Oreochromis niloticus: one gene and its partner. The protein of the gene in region 2 binds, or shares a complex with, the protein of the main gene of each other region. Links are inferred from orthologs where the notes say so. Each region holds a gene or a part of one and is shown on either strand. Other genes may lie near its edges.

Region 1 (9,289 bases), on a different chromosome or scaffold from region 2:
TTATTATTTTATTTACGTATTTCCAGACTTGCTTTCGGCACAATTTACAGTGCGCTACTCTGTTTTTTGTCAGACGTGAAATAGCCGAAATACCTTCACACTACGGAACTTCTGTGGCCCTTCCGTTCGACAAGCTCTCCGGCATTGGAACCATCATCTTTTTTTTCTTCGGTAACCTTCGCTCACGCTCTCGGTTGATTTTTCTCTAGTCAGCAAACTCATTTCCTTCATTACCCGGGCTGGACGGCTGCAAAAACAAATACACATGTGCGTCTTGGCGCTTGTGCTGTACGTAACAAGTCACGTGACGTGACTCTGCGGCTGTGATTGGTTCGGCTCTGTGCTACTTAATTTGGATTGGCTGTTCTTTTTCTTTCTTTTTTTTTAAGAGGACAAGAGAGATGAGGTCTATCGCAATAGTTTAATTTTTCTATCGACAAAAAGTTATTTCGCAATACATATCGTTATTGTTCTATCGCCCAGCTCTATGCCAGAGCATGCTAACACCCAGCCCAACAGTGCACTGCAGCAAGAGGAGGACTCATCTTGTCAGTGGTGTTGATATAGTAGTGTTGATATTGGGGATGATTTGATTTGGGATATAAAATAATTCAGCAGGATAGTACTTACCATCTGTTCTCTTCCTTTTAGCCAACCTTTTTCTCCTCATTTCCTCCATCCTTGGCTCAAAGATGGCTGGACCTCACACCCAGTTTGTGCAGAGCTTCATGGAGGAGTGTGTTGAGTGTCTGGAGCAGGGAAGCCGTGGGAGCATCCTGCAGTTCATGCCTTTTACAATGGTGAGTTATGAGCTGTGAGGGGAGAGGCCAGACAGGTGGAGATAAAGGAGGGAGAGGGATGACTGCTTCTTTAGATATTATCGGGAAGGGTTCAGGAATCCTGCTTACAAGTGTTCTACTGCCTTTAAAGACTGAGTGTTCTGATAAGATCAAGAGGGAATCTGAAGGTCATAGCACAGATGCCTCTTGCATTTGCAAGAGATATTAATCACTCCTACAAGCTTCGAAATGTTAGGGTTGCCACATTTTCAAAACATGTGCAGAGTTTGAAATGGAGTAAAATGCCAAGAACAAACCAGAACTGATAACAGAAAGGAGAAAAAAATGAGTAACGGAGAAAACTTCGCTGATTTAGTGGAACATCTTTTTCTAGTTCTGAGAAAAAGTATTTCTTAATTCTTTTCTTTTGTTCTACTTACATTTTATCATGAGTGTCCCATAAAAACCAGATCAAGGGTCAGAAACACACCCACTCAAAAAGGAATGACAATTATCCTTGAGCAACACATTAAAATTCTTAGTGTTTCTTGGGAAATGCCGCCTCTCAGAATAACAGTTAATTCTTTTTTTTTTTTTCTTTTTTTGCACATTTAGGTTTCCGAGTTGGTGAAGCTGCCCGCTCTGGCCAAACCTAAAGTTGTGCTCGCTATCACTGACCTGACTCTGCCGCTGGGGAGACGTGTAGCTGCCAAAGCCATCTCTGCTCTGTGAGGCTCGGCGTTAAATTTACCTCCGAAATAAATCGAGGCATTGCCGGATTTATCTTCTGTTGGTGGGCAACAAAAGCGCAGCAGAGGGCTGAAAACAGTCTGCAAGAGCTCTGGACTCACATTGTTTTGATATTCTTTTATATTTTTTGTTTTCACACTTGTAAATAATTTTGGAATAAATAAAGAAATCAGACAGAAAATCTTTTTTTTTTTTGTGCTTGCCTGTGTTTATTGGTTGCATTTGTTTTGTGAGTTTTTGTAACACGTCATGGTGTTATGGCACCTCTGTGTTTTTTGAGTTTCGGTAACATGACGTGTGGCCGCTGTCGTTGTTGTCCCTTGACTCAGAATGATCACATGCTAGCCAGCCCAACACATGACACCATACACAAGGCACTGTGGGTCATCTCTTGTCACAGTCATACACCGCTTGCAACACTTCTTAAAGGACATCCGTCTGGTTCAGTAGCGGAAATAATGACAGCAAAGTCCTTATTTCACTCTTTGTTGCACTTCTCTATTACAGTAGTAACTTCACTGGAAGTTTGGGTTTCATTTTATTGTTTTCTATAATTATGCATGTTAGTTCACAAAGAGGTACAAATGTTTTTCAGAAAAAAATGGTTTTTTAATTAAAAAATAAGAAAATACAGACATTATCATTATTATTATTATTGTCATTATTATTATTATTATTATTATTATTATTATTATTGTTATAAATTAAATAAAAATTATACAAAAATATTCTGCTGTTAGCAATACGTTAATGTACTGCTTTACAGAGCATTAGTCACTTGTGTTAACATTTCCTTAGTTTTAAACGGTGGAAATAAATAGTCCAGTCCAGTTCTGTTAATAAATATATAAATATGAAATGCAAATACAAAAATAAATAATGCTTTCACAGATCAATAAATACCATAACGTACATTTTGGGCAAAAGCAAAGTATGACACTTTTTGGTTAGGACTCTGTGTCCACCTCTGTGCTGCGGTCCAGAGTCCTGAGGAAGCGGACCAGGTCCTGAATGTAGGACTGGAGATCCACCAGAGTCAGGTGTGCTGCCACCTGAAATTCGTATTCTGCTGGTAGATTTAAGGACACGGAGGGTTTGGTGGGGTGGGGTGAACCTTGTGGCCGGACAATTTTTAGCATCTAAAAAAGCAAAACAAGGAAAATGATTTTAAGCATTGAGAAGATGCAACATGCAAAAACTATTTGTCAGACTGGCTGTAATTTAGAAACATTCTCCTACCTCTTTGATCTGAATGGCGAGGTCTTTTACATCAGCCATTAGCCCGGTGACTTTATCTTTGTTTGCCAGCCTATGGTAGTTTCCGAGGGAGCCCAGCAAGGCCCGGTACAGCTGCAGACCCTCATAGAGCTGTCTCAAACTGTCCTCCTTATGGAAGGGAGAGAAAAAAAAACTGGTCATCATGTCTGCTTATAGACTCTCAAAGCATGATGACAGTTCACTCTCAAAGAATGCTTACCAAAGTGACGTTTTCTGACGGGGCTTTGATATGAGGAGCAGAGGGGATGCCAATCCCGGACCTCATGATCTCAAACCGCGTATTATCTGTGGAGTTGAGCTGCACAGTCTACGATAAAAGAAATAACATCAAATTGTTAAGGATGTATAGCAGCGAGGAATTCCAAAGCAAACACGAGTTGGGATTTTTGGGGGGGGCAGTGAAGGCAGCAGTCAGATCGTTAAGTTAAAGCACTAAAATGTCACATCCTAAAAACTAGACCAGAAATACTTGTCCTGCGTTCTTACAAGATGCTGAGTCATTAGGAGACTTTTATTTGTGGTTTCAGAAATACTCAAGTAAAATCCAGCTGTGTAAAAAAAAACAAAAAACATGCCAGATGTTGATAACTCAGTTGCCTGTCATCTAAAACAAAAAAGGCGATTGACAGACATGTGCTGCTTCTTTTCCAGAGACTGTTCATATCAGTCATAACAGCTACATAAGCGCATTTCAGATACAAACGCCGCTGACAGGCTCGATCGTGCAGGCTCCTTACGCTGACAGCACATTATCAAACACAAGTCATGACGCAGAAGCTTTAAAGAAACCAGGCAAAACTGCATTAGTGTGTCTCACCTCCGTCTTAATGCAGGATTTGTGTGTTTCGGGGATAGAGAGAAGGATCTTCTCTGTTAACAGCTTGCATTTCTGTACAATCTCTTGAAATTCCGGATCTTCAACAAGTGCGCTTCTTTCCGGCAGAGGTGCGCTGAAGGCGAACGTGGCCATGTAGCAAGAAATGGCGAAAACTGCAAAAAAAGAGAAGCAAACAAAACAAAAATTAAAAAAAACAAGAATCTCAAGGCATCAGCGGCGTAGCATTGAAACAACCCCCGTTATTCATCCAGTATGCTGTGTGGAGGCAGAGGAGAACAAAAGGCAGAACAAAGCCTCCTCTCAACCGGTCCTCTCTGCTGCAGATTTGGGCATGTCCCCCCTTGGGGCTAAATATGTGCAGCAGTTGAGAACAGCCCGTGTAATGTGAAGCCTGAGCCAAAAGTAACTGCAGTAGATCAGCATGGTGGAAAAGAAAAGCAGATGTTTTAAAAAGCACCAGATGTTAACACAGAATAAAAGCCCTATTAATGAATCAAAACATCTGGTGCTTCTAAAACAAACCTGCCTTTCTATCAGTCAGAGATGTCTGCTAGTCCAAAGGCTGATCCTTTGAATTTTCTTGTAGCTTCCTACACTCTACAGAGTGCTTTCGCTCTCTGGGGACGATCAGCAGAGAGGAGAAATCAGTAATTTGTAAGGATTGCCTCACTACTCACCAATCAGAATGTGCATGGCCTCTGCTAGGGAATGCCTTTAAGGTATTGACCTCTAGTGAACACCATCAATTTATGGCAGGCTTATATATGTCAAGCTGGACTGTGTGGAGGAAATTCCCCCAATTACTCATCTGATGGTGTTTCGATTAAAAATATACACGTTTGCACTTTAAAAAAAAAAAAAAAAAAAACTTCAAATACAAATTATTGGCCCCAATAAATGAGTAGAAATTTAATCAAGCTCACATTAAAAGTATGGCTTGTTTTTTTAGCATTAAAAATGAAAAAACAAAACAAAACAAAAAAAACCCTCATTCAATAAAAGTAATGAAACAGGTTAAATTGATGGACCTGAAATTTACTACTACTACTAATAATAATAATAATAATAACATTATTATTATTATTAACAATACTACTACTAATAAATTTGGGGAGAAATAGGAGCAAAATAAAACAAAAAATAAATAAATAAAACTCTTGTTTTAAAAAATATGAAAACATTTTGAGTCACATTCAGATATAAAATAACTAAATTGAAAAAAGGACACAAAATCAAATAAATCTAAAAAAAAACAATAATAATTAAAAGGTAAATTTAAAAAGTCGTAATGAAACTTGTTAAATGGATGGACCTGATTTTTATTTATTCATTCATTTATTTATTTATTGTAACAAAATATTTTTTAAAAGAAAGAAAGAAGAAGGAAATTTGATAGTTAAGTAATACAATTCCAGAATTACGTTTTAGGAAGTGAGATTTCCTAGTTACTGTCGTCCTACAGATTGTGCAAAACTAGTAAAATATAAAGGAAGGAGAGAAGGAAACGGAACGGAAATGAAAAAGTATTCAGTGAATTATTGCCTTTTGAAACACTGGATTCTTTTGTTTTCTAATGTTGTCCATCGTCATTTGCCTGTTGAGCCATTGAGTCACCTGACGACGTGCCTTTTTTTAGAAAAAATCTATTAATAGACTGAAACATGTGACATCTCATCCCAAGATCAAACAGCTCCCGTCTGTGGCGGCCCCCTGTCAATAAGGGAGCAGCCGAAAAGTAACTGCCTAATCTGTCAAGAGATCAAGTCACCTCAATCTCGATTATCTACACCAAGCTGCACCCCCACACTGTAAACGTTGTGTTTAGATTTTTTTTATTTATTTATTTATTTATTTATTTATTTATTTATTGTGGTTCCTGTTGCGGTATTAAGGACGATCAAAGTTTTTCCTCTTGTCATTCATACAGCTGCCCACTGATTTCGGGTTAGTGACATCACCGGATTTTGTGTCGTCTACAGAGAAGAAGTGAAAAGACTTACAACGGATACAACAGTCCCCCCTGGTGGGCTCGTCTTTGAACACTTGCCATGCTTCAGTAATATATTAAAAAAAAATTACGATTCAATAGGTTCTCCACATTAAAGTCAACAGTTATGGAATTTAATGCACTTAATTCCAGCGAGTGTGTGATCTATCTAATTATAATAATCATATATACTGTGTCTCTTTGTTTGTTCTTCTTTATTATTATTATATTTTTTTTTACAAGCTATTTCAACTGTACACTATGTCCCTAAATAGTAATATTTACAAGATGGGGTCTACTTTTAAGATTAGCCTTAAAACTTTCCTTTTTGCTAAAGCATATAGTTAGAACTGGACCAGGTGACCCTATTGCAGCATAACTGAGGGAGGAGTAATCCTCCCTCAGTTATGCTGCAATAGAGTAGGCTGCCGGGGATTCCCATGATGCATTGATTTTTTCCTTTCCAGTCACCTTTCTCACTCACTATGTGTTAATAGACCTCTCTGCATTGAATCCTACCTGCTATTAATCTCTGGCTCTCTTCCACAGCATGTCTTTATCCTGTTTTCCTTCTCTCACCTCAGCTGGTCGCGGCAGATGGCCCCGCCCCTCCGTGAGCCTGGTTCTGCCGGAGGTTTCTTCCTGTTAAAAGGGAGTTTTTCCTTCCCACTGTCGCCAAAGTGCTTGCTCATAGGGGGTCATATGATTGTTGGGGTTTTCTCTGTATCTATTATTGTAAGATCTACTGTACAATATAAAGTGCTTTGAGGCGATTGTTGTTGTGATTTGGCGCTATATAAATAAAATTGAATTGAATTGAATTAAATTGAACTGGAGGAGGAGAAGGTCCAGTAAGTCCTGGGGGTCATGTAGCATGTAGGGAGTTCCAGGTAAAGAGAAGGATTTTATAGGAGACGCTGGACTTGACTGGGAGCCAGTGGAGGCGTATATGGGTGGGTTTCAGAGGCTGCCAGGACTGAGAGTAAGAAGTCTGTCAGCTGAGTTCTGAACACACTACAGTCTTTCCAGGGCCTTGTTGAGCAGACCTAACAGCACACCAGTGCAGGAGTCTAGCCAGGAAGGACTGAGGGTTTCATCTGCGTAGTCTGATGGGTGTCTGGAAATGTTCTTCAGGTGGTAGAAGGCTTTTATGTGAGTGTTAATTGTATCATGTATTATTTTAGGGGGTTTTTTTGTATGTTAGTTTTATTGCCAACCTGTTCCGTAAATACATACAGTCTGTGGACATGGACATCTATTGTTTATCCTTTATTTATGAGTGCTAAAGATGGATCTGGTCACCACTTCCTCTGAAGTCATCATGGCATGATGATGAAGTTATTCTGAATTAATCATGACTACAGCATTAGGAATTCTGTCATTACTGGGTTGGTTTTTAGTCTATTGCATGATCTGCAGACCTGACCATAAATAAGGCGCGAACATTACTATAACTCATGAATCATTATGATTTGATGTAGCAAGGCATGTGTGAGATACAGTTCCCTCATGTACATTTCAGCTCTATCACAATGTTTTATGTTAAGTCATGTTTAAAGTCATAATTTTAATTTCAGTTTCATTGCCTTGGTTATCAGGTTTGACTTGAAAACATGTCTAAACATCATAGTCAGAGTGTAATCACCTCGCAGGTCAGTCCTGTGTCTCCTCTGTAGCCGTCGATAGGATCGGTTCTCTTCTTGCTCTAACATGAGGCACTTGATCAGTCGGTGTAGCTCTGATATGTGGCCATGCTTGATGGGTTGTGAAATAAAGCTGTCAAATCTGATCCCTGAAATCTACACTGCTCTGATCTCCAATCATTCCTCTCCGTGAAAGGAGGCATTCATTCACTGCTGTAATCTCTCTCTACGGCCCAGCGGTGACCTTGTTGGAAACATGATTTGGTTGTAACAGAGGAACAATGTGCTGGCCCTGCACTGGGCTAAGCAGAGAAGGGTTGAACAGTCGTGCCCTGCGTAGTGGAAGAGGAACGATACCTGATGCATGAGTTGATTACACTTTGTATAATATGTCAGTTGTGACTGAAAGCCTTGCGGTTTGTTGAACTTTGAATTATGTTGACAAATGCTGAGCTCTTAATTTAAACGCTGGATCCACAGATGAATCTGGACATACTGTGGAGGTTAAGATGGAATTTTAATTGGCATGTGAGACATGAAACAGATAGTTCTACCTTAAATGCCTTGAAACCCCTCCAGAAAATGACTGAAGGGTTTGATTACCATAAAATGTACAAATAGTTAAAGGAATTAAAGGAAGAAAAAGTTTTTCTTAATATGTAAGTCTTATTTTTGGTTCTTCTAGATGTCATGATCCCTTAAAACAGAATCATTCGCCGCTGTGCTGAAAATCCTCATCTGTTTCTGTATTTGTTTTAACACTAAAGCTAAGGCCTTTGCACTGATTTTCTATAAAGACAGTTGTGTTTAATCGGTTGATACCGGTAACCTCTTACAAAAGCGGTGACCGGTTGAGAAAGATGGTTTGCATCATTCGTTTTACGTTGAATGTCAGCCCGTCTGAGTAGATATGCGTTCAAACTAACGAGGTAGGTTCCTCAGAAAAAAAGATGTCCGGAGAGGAAAAAATGATGTTGGGGAAGTGATTTTAGTGTCAGTCACTTCACAGACATGGTGACGATGCTATAACTTGTAATTCCTTAAAAAAAATCTGACTTCGTCATGACAAAATGTGTAGCTGTCTGTACACACTAACTACGAGGATTTGGTCTATGACTTCCTGTTATTGCATAGACCACAAGTCATTTGCTTGTTACACTCCAGCCTGCAAATGAATCTTTAGCTTTTCATTATGGTTTGTTGGGCAAAAAAGAGAATGAAATGTGTTACATCATAATTTGCATTCACATGTCAAACAAGAGCATTCAGAGAGCCCAACTCCTCCCGAAGGACCTGATTACACCTCATTTAAATCATCTCGAGCTGATAAACAACGGGATGATAAACAACTATTTATTTTCGACAGTTGTAACCAAAACCTGTGTGAACTTCATCACTAGGACCAAGTTCATGACATCGACACAGGTAAACCCAGTTTTTCCATTTGGTTTTGGTTGGTCCAATCTACAAAAGGTTTTCATAAGCTAGTTTATATAGGCTAAAATTGAAATAAAGAACATATAATCCAAGGCGCTGGTACTGGGAGAGGGGGTCATCTGCAAATCAGAAGGTTGCTGGTTTGATGCCTGGCTGCTCCAGTCTGCAGGCTAAATATCCCTGGGCAAGAAACTAACCGATGCATCCATCAGAGTATGAATTTATATGAATGTTAGATAGAAAGCACTTACATAGAAAAGGCATAGAAAAAAGTGCTTGTAAGAATTAGTGTGAATTAGTGTGAATTAGTTGTATAAAGCACTTTGAGTGCTCAGAGTGGAAAAACGCTACACAGTATAACCAGTGCATTTAGCATTTCCTCAATAAGCTCAACAAATTGACGAGTAAGCTTAGGTAAAAAAAAATAAGAGTAATCTTAATTTTTCTTTTCCTGAAAAGCAAATTAACTCAAAGTCACATTAACAAGATCAGGTATCAGAGGCAGGAGCCACTTTGCTAATCTACACAATAGTTCAGTTCAGTGAGAGTATATGTAACTGATCGAGTACAAGCCAGT
Region 2 (9,554 bases):
GAGATTGCGAGCAAGCAGTTGTGGAGACAAATAATTTTCTTATGTCACGGTCCGTAGTGTGACTATAGCAAAATGAGAACTGGTTGGTAAAGTTATGGCAGCATTTCTCAAACATACTGCGCTTTTTATATAAAGTCAACTTTGCACTTTAGTTCGAGAATCAGTTAGGGAACTTACCATTACACAGAAGTTTAAAATTCACAGAAATCTTTGTTCTGGTTTACAAAGCACTTCCCGGACATGCCGTCACAGCCTACATCAGTATCTCTGCAACTGTAAGGTACTGTGTGGAAGAAAAGACAAATAGTTTAGAGTACTAAAGCAATTACTAACTGATTACCAAAGTAACAGAAAACAATGGAATTGAGTTTTTTAGTGGTATTAAAAGGACATTTAATTGTATAATGAACACCGTTAAATTCTGACATATAGACATGTAGTTTTAAAATTTGTGCAAATTATTCAGACGATCACGTTTTGCAGAATTTAATGCATTAAAGCCAGTGTATGTACAATAAAAAACGTTCAAAACAATATTTCACATGACAATAGTGATTTTGTTACTAGAAGATCAAAATATTGTGTTCAGTGCATGAAAGAATTGTTAAAAATGTTGAGTAAAATTTAAATATTTATTTCTGGACATTTCAATTTTGGACAGGTGTCATTTTATATTATAAAATAAAATACCAGATGGTAACGAAAGTTTGCAACTGATAAACAGCATTACGAGGGAGCAGAATCATAAAAATGTGAGAGTAGAGTTTTAAATTCATTAAAGACTTCAAGCAACTCAGTAGTAAGGAAACCTCTTGGGAATTCTCTAAAATTATGCCAAATTATTTATTGTTAATTCCCTTATGTCTTCATCAGAACTACATTTCAGACTGACGTGCAGTACTGTGCAAAAATCTTGAATCACCCCTCATTTCTTTTAGTTTTGCTTCACTGAAGCCATACTTTCTAATAATTTTTAAAGTGGTCTAGAACAACAGTGCTCCGGTTTATTCTCTGGACATTGGCTGCTTTTTAACCAGTTTTTAGTTCTGTGGATTCATCTACAGTTGTTTAAGCCAAATAACACACAAACTTATCTGAAAATAGTGTGGCATTCACATGTGAAATTTTTGGCTTAAATCATTGTCAGTATGTACAGAGGTGGTCAGGAGAGAGGTACAGCAGTCATCTACAGTCATCTGTAAAACACACTGGAGGTTCTGTCATGGTTTGGGGCTGTTTTCCACCAGAGAGGTTGTGAATCTTGTCAAAACTGATGGAACTATGAACACAGAATAGTACTGTCAAAGTTTGTTCCACCATGTAATACCATCTGGAAAGCATCTGAATGGCAGTGTTTTCATTTTTTAGCATGACAGTGATGACAGACACACTGCCAATGCAGTAAAAGCATGGCTGTATAGAAAAAACACACAGTGGAATACTATCAGTCATGGACTGACCTCCCCAGAACCTGAGCCTCAATATTACTGACGCAGTGTTGGATCATCCTTGCAGAGGATGAAACAACAGGCAGACAAGATTTGAAGAAGAGTTTTTAATTTCCCTCAAGATGCCTGGAGACCTATTCCTGAAGACTACTTAAATTACAAGAAAGCATGCCTACATGAGGTCAGGCTGTTTTGAAGAAGAAAAATGGTCATGAAGCTTATTTTTGTTAACTGAAATAAAATGAAAAGTAGACTTTAAAAAAGGGAAAATAACTCAAATGATTTTGTGAATTTGAAAACTAAAATACAAAAAATACAGAGGAAATAATTTGTGCAATATTCATTATTTTGGTAACAATTTTACCAAATTGTCCTGTTGTCCTCCTCCTTTACAGTTTATAGTAGCCAAAGATTTCAGCCAGTTCTACTCCAATCATACAGGTAAAGATAATAAAACACACCATTTTAGTATGTAATGCTAAAAGGTCATAGGTCAAAAGTCAAACATCAGTGTGTTGATATGAAAGCAGGGCGCATCTTGTAATAAAAAGTTTTCATATAGCCTTTGCCCTTCATGAGAGTTGCACTCTTTGACTGCACTTGTTAGAACTGGTTTTACCCTGTATACTGTTTTTCAATTTATACATGCATGTTTCGATAAATCACTGCAGCCATTTTCCAAGAAAAATCTAAAAAAAAATATGTGATGGGGAAAGAAATAAGACATTTGCACAGTACTGAATGTGTGTGTGTGCATGACTCACCAACATACAGACATCTACCCAGAACCAGTAAGTGGTACAGCATTGAGAAACTTCCTGTGGTCTTGTAACACTCAACCTGCCTGTTTCTGAGAATAAGCTGAGAAACTCACAGTTCCTCAGGTTAACATGTAGCATGCGCACAACATCAGGCGACTGTTCAGAGTCCAGTTCAATTTGTTCTGTAGGCTAAAGACACAAATGACGTATTAGATTTTGCCTATAAGCATTTCTGGTCTAGAATAACATTCAACCGTTGACCAGAAATGTTATGTTCGTAGTGGCATTGTAACACCTCCATAAGATGAGGAAGTATAACCTAAAATTTGTATAATTTGTAACTATCACTCAAACTGTTAGATCGCTGCCCTCAGTCCAAAATAACTATTTGGTGAAGACTGCGTTTTGCAATGAGAGAGAAATGGAATTTTCTCCCCGTTTCTTATCAGCACTGTGCAAAAAGGCCCCCATTTCCCCCCGCTCTCCTTTTTAGAATTTCTGCTTACTACTAATAGGTAATTGCCTGTGGCTCTGACAAAAGGCAATTGAAGGAAAGACAGAGAGAGTGAGCGAGAGAGACGAGGTGGAGAGCAGAAAAGCGTATTAGACTTGGAGTGTATTTTGTCAATAACACAATATGACATACTTAAAATAAAGGCAGAATAAATGAAGTCTGGCTATTCTTTGTGTTTCGGCCAATTATGTTCAGAACATATAGATGAGAATACATTATGCAGAATTTATTTTCGGGTCTCGGTGAGTCATGTCTCCATGTTAAAAGAAATATTTTGCTACAACTTCTGTAGATTTCCTTTCCTGTTGCTGTTGAGGGTTACAGAACGCCCACTTTAAGGATTTGGCAATATCCCTCACACATTGCAAAGTGTAATGACAGACTCACCGCTATTTCCCCTTTTTGGTTTTATTTCTCACACTATACAGTGTGTTTTGAAAAGAGATTTAAAAGGAGTTAAAGAATTGATTCGTTTTTTCCTATCATGGATGTTAAGACATGCTGACCTTTTATGTAGGCAGTATCTAAAATCCCACACCGATTGAATCTTTTTCGCTTCCGATTTTTAAATTGTCAGAACATGTTTTCCATACACTAAAATACTGTTGCCCCCGTGATTAGAAGAAAACTGCAGTCATAAAACATGTTAAAAATATTGCCATAGTGTAGTCTTTAGAGCTTGAAAAGGAAGGCGGCTGGATTTCTTTAAGGTTTTTAAAGACATTTCACCTCTAATCGAAGACATTTTTTCAGTTGTGAGGGGTGAAACAACTTCAAAAATCATAAAGAAGTCCAGTCGCCTTCTTTTTCAAGCTCTTAAGACAATCATGACTTGGGCGACATTGCTGTATTGTACTAAATTTAATAAAGGTTTAGGTAAAAAGCCCTTTGTGCAACGATCTAATAACTTATTTTTAAATTTTTCAAACGATACCCTTCAAGTACTATAAAGCACCGTCTTATCTTAGTATTGCTTATTTAATCCTAAATGTATTAAGAGTGTGTAGTGTGTGTGTGTGTATTAGGTATTAAACTACAAAGGATGATAAATGTCACATCTACAATACAGAGGGACCAGAAAATCAGATTAAACATGGATTAAAGATGATTTTTTTTAAATAAGTTGAGTGGTCCATAACTTACATGTAGATGAGGATGCAACTACCTAGCTTTAACCTCATTCAGAAACAAGTTTAGCAAAGTTTTCCTCTTCAATCTGGCACAAGTATCAAAATGAAAGAAGCAGCAAATTGCTTGATGTGAAGATAAAGGAGAGTCATCAGAGAGGCTTGCCACTCACCACACAGCAGCTGCAGCAGACCCAGAAAGACAAGAGGCTCTTATCAGCCCTGATAGCACCAGATGAAACAGCGTGGCTCAAAGTAGCTCGGATTTGAGGACGTGTGTGTGTGTGTGTGTGTGTGTGCCAAGAAGCAGCACAGGCAGCAACATCCTTGTTTTGCATTTGTGAAACTGCTATTTTCCAAGAAGAAACATGTGACTGATGGGGCCCAGTTATGGGAAGGAAGAGTGGGGAGTTCACATTGCTCAAATTCAAATTTTTAAAAGCTCAGCAAATTTTTTTTTTTCACAGGTGGTGTTGGCTGTTTAATTTGTCACAATAATATGCATTGTTTTTCTAAATGGAGTAATTAGAACAATCATTATAGCTCAAATTATAGCTGTTAAATGTCAACTGAATTGAATTTTCAGTACTTTCCCAGAAGATGCTAATACAGCAGCTGTCAAATGTCCTTCAGTTGGACTCCAGGGAGTCTTCTCGCAAGAAGAATGTGATCATTCTGGTTCAGGCTGACCCCTCTGTGTTTTGTGTGACCTTTGAAGTAGCTTCAAAATGCACTCATCTCCCTCTCTGAGCCTGTCTAAGACTTTGTCAGCATGGTAATAGAACAAGCTCTTAAATGGGATTGTAAACTGTGCCTTGACCCCCCCAAGGGCACTTGAAACTAGTTGCCATATCACGATTATTAGCTTATTAAATTCTAAAATGAATCGGTGGCTTAGGTCTCATTTCACTGCATGCAAGGAGACCCAGCAAGCTCACCCACTCCACTTTTAATCTAACAGCTGCATCCCTGCACGGTCACTCTCGTGCCCTCAAAAGCATAATGGAAGCTAACTGTTAATCAAGAAGCCGCTGGAGGAGGAATTAAATCCACGCACTGGTAGGTTTTAGGGTAGGAGTCAACCTGGAGAAAAGAAAAGCAGGCATTAATTAAAAACACATTAACTGGTTATCATGAGTTGACATATTTTGCTTGATCTTTTTTCCCCCTAATCAGCAATAATGAACGAAGCGTTTGCCATCCACTGGGTATTACACGCTATGTTTCAGTGAGCGGTAAAATTAGCTGAGGGCCCCGAAGCCAAGTTGAACTGATGAAGCTTTGCTAGGTTTGATTACGGTTTTTGTCCTATGCTTAACAGAATGCTGTCTCCTCCTTAGATTCTCATTCACCTTAGAAATGCGACTAACCTAAATTAGACACTGCTGTAAACATCATCTCATATCTGTCTGCTTCTATACAGTGAAATACTATAGTGAACTGCAGTCACAACTGCTGTAATTCTGCTAATCGTGTATACTGAAATACTGAATATTGCCCTCTGTTACAAGAGTGACATTCCACTACTGCACTCAGCCTGATAAGTCGAATGCAGCATTCTTTACCACCAGTTATGTAAAATACTGATTGCACTGATTAAGATTTTTGTTGCCAAAATTATTACAGTTTTGTTTCATTAAACTCAACAGAACCCTATTTACTGATGGCACACCAAAACTATCATTTGCCAGTGAACGAACAGACAACATCATGGTGGACTGCTTCGCTGACTTAAAGACGAGGAAGCTCACGCTCACATACTCAGTAATGAATTCTGCATTTGATCAATAACTGACTTACAATAGAGTGAGGCAATATGGCCAAAATTAACGTTGAATGGGAAGTGAACCTCTGAAAGAAGAAACTGAGGGCTTTTGAAAGGCTTGGTGTAAGCACAGGTCTGGAACCCCAGAAAATGTTGCAAGGGGATTTCAAATGAGAAGTACATGCAAGAAAACAAAAATAAAAGTAAAATAAAATATTGAGACATTTTTACTGTACATTGAAACAACAAACTTCAAAAAAACAGTCATTCTTGGAGCTGGAACTCTAGAAAAATACTGTAAAATAATTAGATTTTTTATAAATCTTCTGTCGCTTCAACATACAAGTGTGCTTGTGTAGTTTTGCAGATGTTTTATGTAAATAAGTTCATTGTCCAGGTGAGGTGATGTTTCCTGCTTCGGCTTTAGCCTGTTGCATCTCCACCTGTGATCAGGTCAACTGCAGGGTTTCACCGCTGGTATCCCCGCTCATAGATGTTTGCCCACGAAACCAGTTCATCTTCCAGTGGGGGTCTGGTAGCAGACTGGGGACATCTTGCAGCCACCCCCTGCAGCTGCCTTCGCTGGTGTGCTGTCCCTCAGTCTATGTCATTTTCCTGCATCCAGTAGCTTCCTTTCACAGCTTTGTTTCCCCAGTGCCTTTGTGGTTTTCCTCAGGCTTGCACCTATGCCTGTACCTCACAGAGGGTGGACTGTTGTCTTGCCCAAAAAAGCCCTCTTACCCAATTACCAGTTGTGTCTTGTCACTACTGGTAGCATGATCTGGTACCTGCAGCCCATTTAGGTTTCAGAGGTAGTTCCTCCAGGATGCCACATCAATACAAGCCATTAGAATAAAGTTTGCTGTGTCTCTGAGCAGACACAGCTCAGAGCAGTCTTGTATTTGAGGTACTAGGACACATGGAGTTACAAAAGGAGAGTGGAAAAGAGCTGTAAAAGGCCATCAATCCAGCTCCAGGAACAACATCTGCTCCTTTGTGCAAGGAGACACAGGACATACACTGGCAATGCAAAATGATCTCCACTGGATCACCTATGTTTACATGTCTGACCAACAGGGTCCAACATCCTTTATTTAAGCTTTTACTCACAGCCCAGTACGACGCAGATCAACACCAAAACTGGCAGGTCCACTACTGGCACCCGATTCTCTTCACAGATGAGAATCGGGTGCCAGTTTTTGTTGTTAGGAATGAATGGCCATCATCCACTCACTGGATTTGTTCCTCTTCATTTTTATCATTTGCTGCTCCACCATGACATATATTGTGTTAAAAGTAAAAATAGGAAATATTTGGGTAACAGTCTTTACATTTACCTTTGCATATGTCAATATACTGATTTTTATTTTGCATAGGACTGGTCAAAAATATTTAAGAGACTAGCAAAAAATATCTATATATCTATCTATCTATACTACAGGAAAAAAATCTATTTATATTTTTGATGGATATTTGACTGAAAGTTTTTCATTTTCAATGATACTACTAGTATTTGTAGATTTTAAAACAAAAGTCTGCATGATGGTTTGAAGTCTGTGGGGGGCTGTTTATTGATTCATTATGTTATTTATTTGTCTGTTAGCTTTCGGTTTTACTTCCTACTTTTAATTTTTCTTTCTTTTTGATTTTCTGCCTACCCTTTTTGTTTCACATGTGTTTAATTAGTCAACCTTAACTTCTACTTACCACTTCTTTTAAGTCTGTGTCTTGTCCTGCCTCTGTTTCTTTCCCCATAGCTTTTTATTTTCCAGCTTATTGGTTTGTGTTGTGATTTCCATCTCTCCCTCTCAATATATAGAGATATAGATAGAAAGAGACAGATGTGTGTGTGTGTGTGTGTGTGTGTGTGTGTGTGTGTGTGTGTGTGTGTGTGTGTGTGTGTGTGTGTGTGTGTGTGTGTGTGTGTGTGTGTGTGTGCGCGCGCGTTCTTTGTACCTGATTCTGTTATTAAAGCTCATTTTGGTTGCTCTTGCACCTGCCTATTTTGTGTCCCACATTTTTGTATGCTTTTGAACTGAATCACAACACTGGGAATAAAAAGTCCATAATATGTGTTCTTTTTAATTATTTATTTAAAGAGCCTATTCGAAATTATATTTCAAAGTGATCTACCTCCAGTCCATTTGTATAATTCTACCAGAGCTTCAAATCATTAAAATATAACCTCCAGAAAAGAGAACACACTTCATTCTTTGAAGAAGAGGCTGAAAGAACTAATGGAACTGGAAAGAACTAATGCAAATAATAAAAGGATGGACATTCAAAAAAATATATCTTTGTGTTAAAAAATATAACAGCCATGTTGTTGCTCTGAGACTCAACTTAAGTGAAATGCTAATGACAGTATACTTGCATGTTCACAGTGATAATGCTTCCTGATATTTCAGTGCTATTCAATGCTATCCTAGTATTACGCAGGCATGTTTACCATATTTGCAATATTTTAGAATAAGCACAAAAACAGTTATATTTCAAATGAAAAGAAAATAGATGGATTAAGTTGAACTAAATAAACCAAAGAGACCTGACAAGACCTTATTCTACATGCTTCCTAAACTTTTCATTATCACTGTACAGTTTACAGTTTTATCGATTGTTTTTTGCTAGCATGGCTTGAATTCAGCTTGCTTTGCTACACAATTAAAAGCAGATTTGGTAGGTAGGATTTATGTGGATGTGTATTCTATACCTAATATAAATCTCTGTAAGTTTGTTAGTTTGATTATATCTGTGAGCGCACTTAGGGTGGCACAGTTGTCTTGGTCTATGCCTGAACAAGACTGTCACCGACCATTTCCCAGCAAACCTGTGTTCCCATTGTGCTATCTGGCCCCAGATATTCTTAAGGCATACTCACACTAGGCATAGCTGCCTTTCATTGTCCCTGCTCTTTGGGGATCAAACACAATGATGGTATTGATAGCCAAAAGAGAGTAGTTAGAAAAATCCTGAGACTAACTTCTCATGCTCTCTAACTTGCTTTGGAAACGTGATATTATGGATGACAATCGGGTTCCTGATTTTGCACTTTGTGGTATAGTCGGAGCAGTTTTGGAAACGGTGACACACTGCTCTATCACATGCCTTATAGATGTGTAAATTACTTAATAAAGCAATTTTTACAAAGAGCACCATCATTGAGGAAGCACGGGACTTCCTACACACTTCACGAGTGTGAAGTGCACCAGGGTGCAGAACACTAAACCTTGACCAGACATAGTACACAGCAACCACACCAGTCAAATGAACCTAACGAACGTTGGAGATTAAACATGCTTGGGATCACATAGTGTGATCACTGTCTTAGTTTAATGCAATTTGTGTAAATGGCTTTACTTGCACAAAATGTGTGACAACAATTAAAAACAAAAACTGTCAGTAACTGAATTTCCATAATAGGTCTCCATAAAATCATAGTTATGTTCTCTGCACATTCATGGTGCTTGTCATACAAGTTCACTTGTGAGCACAATCACATTCAGCATTGACACTGTTTAATGTGTGTATACACCCCCGAGTTGTGTTACACTATTGAGCGTGGCCTCTGGCACTACACTGCTGTGTCGACCTTGCGGGTTGGTTGAGTGAGCCTGTGAGCCACTGTGTGTGTGAGAGAGGGAAAGGGAGAGAAAGACAGAGAAAGGAGAGGGTCAGACAAGCTCCAACTCGCGCTCCTGCTCCTTACATGCACCCAATCCACTCCTATCTAGTACCTGTCACACGCTGGCTGCAAAATGGAATTGACTATTGATTTCCCCCTTACCACAGGTCAGTTGTGCTGGCAGGCTATAGTGAGCTCAGTGAGAGCCTTGCGTGGGACAACAAGAGGAGGGGAAGAAACACGAGAAGGAAATACACACATTTCAAAACACACAGCACATACACGCTCTTATTAACTGAGGCTTTGTAACGGAAGAC

What was found.
Region 1: the proteins of csf3r (region 2) and csf3a are in contact, whole or in part, in a crystal structure (PDB 2D9Q), measured with the Homo sapiens proteins. The link is inferred for Oreochromis niloticus from reciprocal best matches to the Homo sapiens genes CSF3R and CSF3. Residues at the interface, in NP_000751.1 of Homo sapiens: Arg164, Arg190, Lys191, Leu193, Leu194, Leu195, Tyr196, Gln197, Asp220, Met222, His261, Ile262, Asn263, Arg311, Pro313, Leu314; in NP_000750.1 of Homo sapiens: Ser42, Leu45, Lys46, Glu49, Gln50, Arg52, Lys53, Leu141, Asp142, Asp145, Thr148, Thr149, Gln152.

What each region holds. Positions count from the first base shown.
Region 1 is NC_031973.2:19,710,113-19,719,401, forward strand, and holds csf3a (colony stimulating factor 3 (granulocyte) a), read right to left. Parts: upstream 4,372-9,289; 5' UTR 4,339-4,371; coding exon 4,323-4,338; intron 4,268-4,322; exon of another isoform or gene 4,172-4,267; intron 3,798-4,171; coding exon 3,625-3,797; intron 3,115-3,624; coding exon 3,007-3,114; intron 2,916-3,006; coding exon 2,769-2,915; intron 2,669-2,768; coding exon 2,477-2,668; 3' UTR 1,840-2,476; downstream 1-1,839. Other genes in the region: med24 (mediator of RNA polymerase II transcription subunit 24), read left to right, coding at 652-800, 1,395-1,511. UniProt on the Homo sapiens protein: Granulocyte/macrophage colony-stimulating factors are cytokines that act in hematopoiesis by controlling the production, differentiation, and function of 2 related white cell populations of the blood, the granulocytes and the monocytes-macrophages.
Region 2 is NC_031976.2:26,817,904-26,827,457, reverse strand, and holds the start of csf3r (granulocyte colony-stimulating factor receptor), read right to left. Parts: upstream 4,182-9,554; 5' UTR 4,024-4,181; intron 2,399-4,023; exon of another isoform or gene 2,213-2,398; intron 284-2,212; 5' UTR 178-283; intron 1-177. UniProt on the Homo sapiens protein: Receptor for granulocyte colony-stimulating factor (CSF3), essential for granulocytic maturation. Plays a crucial role in the proliferation, differentiation and survival of cells along the neutrophilic lineage.